2 linked regions of the Coturnix japonica genome follow. The protein of the gene in region 2 purifies or fractionates together with the protein of the main gene of each other region. This does not show direct contact. Links are inferred from orthologs where the notes say so. Each region holds a gene or a part of one and is shown on either strand. Other genes may lie near its edges.

Evidence for each region. The genes of interacting proteins can lie anywhere in the genome.
Region 1: the proteins of HNRNPR (region 2) and HNRNPU purify together in Homo sapiens (affinity purification with mass spectrometry; 3 studies listed by BioGRID and IntAct, with this or other methods). This does not show direct contact. The link is inferred for Coturnix japonica from reciprocal best matches to the Homo sapiens genes HNRNPR and HNRNPU.

The regions. Positions count from the first base shown.
Region 1 is NC_029518.1:31,194,770-31,199,356, reverse strand, and holds the start of HNRNPU (heterogeneous nuclear ribonucleoprotein U), read right to left. Parts: upstream 2,920-4,587; 5' UTR 2,711-2,919; coding exon 1,990-2,710; intron 1,129-1,989; coding exon 1,017-1,128; intron 889-1,016; coding exon 815-888; intron 1-814. UniProt on the Homo sapiens protein: DNA- and RNA-binding protein involved in several cellular processes such as nuclear chromatin organization, telomere-length regulation, transcription, mRNA alternative splicing and stability, Xist-mediated transcriptional silencing and mitotic cell progression.
Region 2 is NC_029538.1:1,446,359-1,449,154, reverse strand, and holds part of HNRNPR (heterogeneous nuclear ribonucleoprotein R), read right to left. Parts: intron 2,560-2,796; coding exon 2,410-2,559; intron 905-2,409; coding exon 783-904; intron 589-782; coding exon 1-588. UniProt on the Homo sapiens protein: Component of ribonucleosomes, which are complexes of at least 20 other different heterogeneous nuclear ribonucleoproteins (hnRNP). hnRNP play an important role in processing of precursor mRNA in the nucleus.

The DNA.
Region 1 (4,587 bases), on a different chromosome or scaffold from region 2:
CACGTTGGAAGATAATGGCATATTCAGCAAAATACGTGGCTGTAAACTAATGCCTCCTTCCATTTCAAAACATTTCTCAGGAAGAAAAAACCTGAAACTACTAGCAAATATGCCAAATGAAGCCAAAACTTAAGGTCGCATTTCATGGAATTTAAAGAATCTGACAAGTTAATGCATTACCTTAAGTTTTAAATTCTACAGTAACAACTGATACTTACCCATAAGAACACAGGTTTTTACCCTGGTCATGGTATATCACAGCAGTACTTACACAAACCACCTCCAACTCTCAGAATACACGAATGGGTCATTTAGTTTTTTTCCCAGCAGACTTAAGCTGATTGTTAATTTGTCAGAAAACAGCAGAAGAAACCCCAAACTTGTTGATACATCAATAAGGCTTCAGTGAGTTATGCAGGAATCTCAGTCCAGGCGTTTTACTACCATAGCTATCTACTATTGGTTCTTTAAGTGAGAAGCTGATGTGCTGTTATCAGTTCCTCAGGTTGTTTCAAGCATCACCTATACATACTGAACACTCAGTCAGTTTTGCCATATGCAACTCTACCATTTCAGTTAGGATTTCTTCAGCAAATTAGCACATCACATACTTCCAGGTAAAAATTTAGCTGAATATTGTTAATATGAAGACTAATATACCTTTTGTATGCTAAAACGCAAGGATCAAACATTTCTATGTTGTCTGGTAATGCAAATCACCAAACAGTTTAACCCCGTATTTCTGAAATGTGGGGCTTTAAGCTTAAAGACAGTTTGGTATCCCTGCAGACCAAAGGAAAGCATGGCTACTCACAGGTATCGAGACACACCACTGTGTCATCAAAGTGTTCATCTTCTTCTTCAACAGGTGGTTGAGGGGACTTGGCCCTAAGAAGAAAACAGTGAAGAATGAAGCCAGGCGCTCTTCCAATGTAAGAGGAAACGCTTTTTTAGAGTAAGCCCATCTTACCTCTCCTCACTCATACAATGGTGCCCAGCATTGAAAGCTTATTTACCTGCTGTACTTATTTTCTTCAATGTATTCAAAATATCCACGGCCGTGGTCTTCACGTGGTCTCTTGACACCCCTCTTTTTCTCACCGGGTTTTTGTTCTGTTTTGCCATCTCCTGTAACAAAACCGATGACTTTAACACCACGGAATAACTCTTTAGTCGGAAATAAAACCCAAAATATATAAACCCAAATAAAACCCAAAATAAACCCAATAAAACCCAAACAATAGCAGCTCACGGCAGAATCCCGTTTTTCACTACAATAACAACATCATGGTTTCGAGTTTTCCCTGCGCACTCCAAACCCATCCGCTAAACCAGCGATGCACCGCGATGCCGAGCGAAAGCCCGTCCCTCTGGGTGCGCTGCGCGGACACAAAGCGCTGCGGCTCCGCCCGTCCCGCAGCCCGCCGGCTCCACGCCGCTCGCAGGGCCCCGTGGCGCCGAGCACTACGGCGCCGCCTCTCGGCCGCCGAGCGCGGCGGGCTGTGGTTGCGGGGCCGCCCTGCCGCCCGCGGGGCAGGGATTCCGCCTCCGCCCGCCTCCATTGTACCGAGCCTTCCCAGCGCCATCCCGAGGAGCCCCGGCCGGAGGTGACGTCAGGCGGCCCGGCGCCGCTCAGCACAATACAGCGCGCCCCAGCGGCCCCTCGGTGCCCGCCCCTCCCCTTACCTCCCCCCCCCCCCCCCCCCCCCCCCCCCCCCCCCCCCCCCCCCCCCGGTCCCTTCCCCGCCCCCGCTTCCCCCGCCCCGCGCCCGTCCCGCTCCCCAGACCCCCCGCCCCGGCCTCGAGGGGACCACGCGGCACGGGGGCGGTAGAAGCCCCCTCCCCCAGCCCTCCTCGCTCTCCGTCTCCCCCGGGGGAGGCGCCCGCTCGCGGCCCGCAAAGCTCCGTGCGGCCCGTTGCCCCGCTCCTCGCGGCCGAGGTGGAGGATTAACGGCTCCCTCCCCCCCCTTTCCCGCCGCGCACACTCACCCGCAGCCGCCTGGGCCCCGGGGCGGCCTCCTCCGCCGCCACCTTCCGCTTTCTTCTGCTGCTGCTGCTGCTTGGCGGGGCCGGCCGGGCCGGTGGATGCGGCCGCCGCGGGTCCCGATGCGCCGGCAGCGCTCTTGCCCGGGGCCTCCTTGGCGGCGGCGCGCGGCGCGGGCTGCTGCTGGGCGGGCTGCTGGGCCTGGGGCTGCCGCTCCCCGTGCCCGTTGGCGTCCCCGGCCGCGGCCTCCTCCTCGTCGGCCAGCTCGTCCTCCCCCTCCTGGAAGCCCTGATCGTCTCCGTTCTCATCCTCCTCCTCCTCCTCTTCCTCCTCCTCGCCGCCCGCCTCCTCTTCCATCGGGCCGCCCCCGGCCCCCGCCCGCTCGCCGTTCTCTTCTCCCAGCTCCATGGCGTCGCCGTCGGCGGCCTCCAGCCCTTCCTCGTCGTCGTCGTCCGCCGCCGAAGCCGCGGCCTGCTCGAGGCCTCCCCCCTGGCGGAGCTGCGCGGCGCCGCCGCCGCTCTCGGCCGCCTCCCCCTCCACGCTGCCGTTGCCGGGCTCGGCCGCGCCGCCGGCTGGGCCCCCCCCGCCGGCCTCCTGGTCCAGCGCGGCCTGGAGCCGCTCCATCAGGTCGGCCTTGAGGCCCTTGTCGGAGAGGCGCCGCTTTTTCAACTCCTCCTTCAGCTCCGACACCTTCAGCTTCCTCACGTTGACGGGCGAGCAGCTCATGGCGGCGGCGGCGGCTCGATCCCTGGGCGGCGCGCGGGGCGGCTCTGGGCTCGGGCGGGCGGCGGCGGCTCTGGGTCGAGGCCCCGGCGGGAGGCGGTGGGCGGGTGGCGCGGCTGGTTCGTGCGGCTGCGGCAGCTGCAGAGCGGACCCGCCTGGCGCCAAATCCTTTCACCGAGCTCGCGAGGGAGACGCGCCTCGCGGGGCCGAGCACGCAGCACTGCCCGCCCCGCCCCCGCGCACGTAGTCCCTCCTTCCCCCTCACCCCCCCGATACCGTAACGGCCGCCCGCGCGCCCCCGTGCCGTAAATACCCGTCCGAGCGCAGCGCGTTGCGCTGTGTGGGCCCTGCCGCCCTCAGGCGCGCGGCTGTTCCGCCGGGCCAGCCGGGCTTACGCGGCCGTGCCCGGGCTCGCGGCGCAGCTGAGGGACGAGCGCTCCTCGCCCCGCTGGGCGGCCGTACCTGCGCCATGTTGGGCAGGAGGCGGCTGCAGGCCTGGCCCCGACGCGCCGCGCTGCCGCCTTAACACGGCGGGGCTGGAGGCCTCGGGCCGGCGTGTAGGCCGCAGCACGGCACAGCTGCCCCTTCCCCTCGCTCTGAGGCCTGTCGAGGGCTCGACAGCAAAGGCTGCGCCTCGAAATAGCGGCCCAGACGCAACCTGCTGAAAAGTTACATAAGGACAGCAGTAGAGACAGACAATCTCTCTACGGGCTGCAGCAGTAACAGGCATGCGTTGACCTGATCTTTAGACGACGTTTTCCGCAAGCCACGGGGCCAACAAAAGCACTTCAAGTGCATTAACGCTCCTACACACAGCAAGCACCAGTGAAGCTCAGCACAGAGCTGATCAGCTGCAGCTAAACAGCTTACATGTACCCATCTCTCCCTCTGCATATCGCTACTTGGATCTCTCCTCAGCCACCAAGTTCTATGGTAGGGATTTAATAATATATTAGTATACACAATTTGACCAGAAGTTACATGAAAAAAATATGCAACCACACTAGAGATGACTACAGATGGACAGAAAGGCAACACCAGTCTGCCATTCTGCTTCCTTAGGGAGGCTGAAGAAAAAGCTAGTTTTCACGTGCTTTTAAGAAGTTCACAAAAGGGGCAAGCCAGGCACAGGTCACACAGCCTTCTGAACCACAACACGTATTTACTTACAGCCAGCAAAAGGGAGAAGATATGAGGAAGTCTATCTGTTCTAACTGTAAAAGTAAAGTGCTCTCTCTTTCTTTCTCCCTCTCTCACACACACGCTGCTCTGTCAGGCTGGATTGATCACTTTTGGAGGAAACGTGACTCACTGCAAGGTTAGCACAACCCAACTACAGTCTTGTTGGAACAGAGACAGGAAGAGTTGCCTCATGCATTATGTCCAGATTACAAGTTTTCCCTAGTACAAATGCAAGTTAGTAGATTCTATCTCACTCTGCTAGGTTGGAGTCTTTTAAGCAGGGGGAAGTAAAGGACAGCGTGCACAGATACCAGAAAGATCAGTACACAATCAAGCTGAACAGATATAAATCATTACCCTTGTTCCTTTCTTTGCGAAAGGGCTTTCTAAACTTGTCTGAGTGACAGTGCTGCCAAGGTGGGAGCAAAAATAAGCAGAGTCTACCTGGTTAACGTTGCAAGATAATTTACTACTGAAATGCACAGAACACAGAAAACTGCATTAAATTTAGATGTCATCTACCTGTCCAACATCCAGGATTATTTTTCAAGTTTTGAACATAAAAATATTTAAGAACTTACATTTCCAAGTCTTTATAGCTTATTTTATCTGCATCTCAGAGCCTTACGTTGAAACCTTGATCTGGCCCAGCCCTTGTCACATGTCAAACAATGTATCTAGTAAAACTTCATTGGAAT
Region 2 (2,796 bases):
GTATCCTGATAAAATTCCTGGTTGTCATTATTGTAACCATAGTTACCGGCATAGTCACCACCTTGCTGGAGCGGCTGCTGAGCGATGGGTTGGGAGCCCCAGTTCTGCTGGTTATTGGTCTGGCGCCGCTTGGAATCTGGCTGGTTGTACCCATCTGCCTTTCTCTTGCCTCCTACGTTGCCCCCACGGTTGCCCCTGGCTCCACGAGCACCGCGTCCTCTCTGCTGCTGTGCAGGACCCCCTCTCCCACCCCTGGCTCCTCTTGGCGGTCCCATGGGTGCCCCCCTCTGTGAATAGCCAGCTCTACCTCTTGGTGGTGGTGCTCCCCGCCCCCTAGGTGGTGGAGGTGCACCTCTCCCACCCCTTCCTCCTCCTCCTCTTCCTCTTATAGCATAGCCATCTTCATAACCATAGTAAGGATCTTCATATCCACCACGATAGTTATGGTAGTCATAGCCATAATAATCGTAATAATCTTCATATCCGTAATAGTCAGGGGGATATCCATATCCACCTCTCCCTCCACGGCCTCTGCCTCTAATAGGAGGTGGCATGCGAGGCGGAGGGTAGTAATAATAGTCTTCATACCTATTAAAAAAAAGAAACACACATTAATTTAGCTTGAAAACTCTCCCAGAAGAAAGTATAAACTTCCCCTTGTTAATTACCAACATCACGGAGGGGAAAAGAAGGAAAAAGGGGGTTCAGTTTCTTCTAAACTCTGTGTTTTACAGCAGAATTTAACTTTGCAGTATAGTAGTAATTCAAGAATGAACACTCACGCAGTACTTCTGGAGGCCTGCCTGGCAGCCTGACGTTCTTTCCTTTTCTTATCCGGTGGCTTTGCTAACACTATTTCAATTTCTTCCCCTTCTATCTCTTTTCCATTCATTTCATTCATAGCCTGTACAAAAATTAGAAGAGAAACAAGGAAAACTCATTTTCAGCCAAGAGGAAACCAGAACTTTCAGGGGGAAAAAAAAGAAGTTGGTCGGGCTACTGCTTTGTATGTCTTGAAGAGAATTCTTCCAGGTTATTCTTTCAAGCAGTTCAAATGAGGCCAAGTTAAAAAAAAAACAACACATTTTCTTTGTATCAGAAGGTAAAAGAATCTCAAACCATATGGAGCATTATATTTCAAAAAGTTACAGTGCTACATCTGATTTTTATGTTCCTGAACTCCTTAGAAATAGTTCAAAGAGTTCTCACTACACACGCTGACATGAATACTCCGTGTACTTGCAAGGAAGGCAGAATGCACACATGAGAGACAGCATTTTTATATTTGGACTATCGGAATGCACTGAAAGAGTATCTCAGAGGACAGCAAGTATTTTTACACATAGCTGACTGTGAACAAGAAAGGACACACACTTAAGGGGGCAAAAAAGAACAACAAAAGTTGAATCTTGGCAACTTCATGAAGTAATACAGCAATCCTCAAGTAACAGACCACGTGTAATCTGTAATTATCAAATGCATGCACAAATAGTACTTGATGTACATACACAAAGTACAAGTAGGACTATACCTCCCTGTTCTCTGCTTGGAGTTACTGCCCTGCACTGAACGTGTCTGGGTACAAATACATGAATTAATAAAAGGCTCCATATGTCTGCACAGACCTATCTTCAAAAACTGTAACAATAAGGGTTTATTTGAAAGAAGCTCAGAGAGTACAACAGCCACTGGAATCAATTAATGAGTTCCATGCAATCCATATCATAATATCGCTTTCATTAAAAACAAACAGCACAAACATACACAGAACTAACCCACAGAATTCACAAACCAATTCAGCAGCCATAAAGAGGAGTCAGACAGGGCAGATATACTGCTGCATGCTACCTTAAGTTTGAAAATGAAAGACCCTCTGAACTATGTAACCCCATACACTACACAGCTTAAGAGACTCCATGGCATAAGACATTTCCTCCACCACCTTCCTGCCCCCACGCACGACTGCTTTCAAATACTTTTTATAAATAAGGAGTAACTTCTACAAACTACCCTGCAATTCCTACACAATATTTCTGCCATTCCAAAAACTACACAGTCTTTAAATAAGGGTCTTTGAGAGACAACTGATACCTTCTGTCGCTTCCTCAGAAAAACTGTCTAGGTTGATTATTTTTTCCTCCTCTTCTCTAGACTCTGCTGCATTGGTCTATACCTCTTTTCCAGTCTACTTGTTAACTTGGAACAGTTTTGTTCCTTGCAAGTTTCACATCCTCCTAGCTACTGAAATCATAGGAACAAAATTATTAGTAATAGAATTTTCACAAAAGGAGCCCTGCTATACACGCTCTAGAAACTGTCATAAGATATTCACTGTTAAGGAATTTCTAAAAGCATCTTCACAGAGAGCTCCTCACATCTGATCTAGATAAGCAAGAATAAACAACCCACCTTCACTGCTGCACCTCTGTCCTCAAAATGAACAAAAGCATAATCCTTTAGTTTCTTAACTCTTTCCAGCTTTCCAAATTCAGAGAAGGATTTCTCAAGAATTTCTTCTGTCACAGTAGTGGCCAAGTTTCTTACAAATAAAACTTTCACCTGATGATTAGTGAAAACAGAAGTCTTTAGAAGTCAGACATCAAGGAAAATGAACATTCACTTAAAACATTAAAGAATTTTTGGCTAACCTTACAAATTCCATATCCATTAACAAAAAAGAGTTACCTGTATACAATTCCTAAAATTTATCTCCTTCCATACTTTCCCCTCCAAGACCAGAAAAATATTCAACACTGATTTTCTGCTCCTGGGATACTACAAGTCCCAGTAAAACTT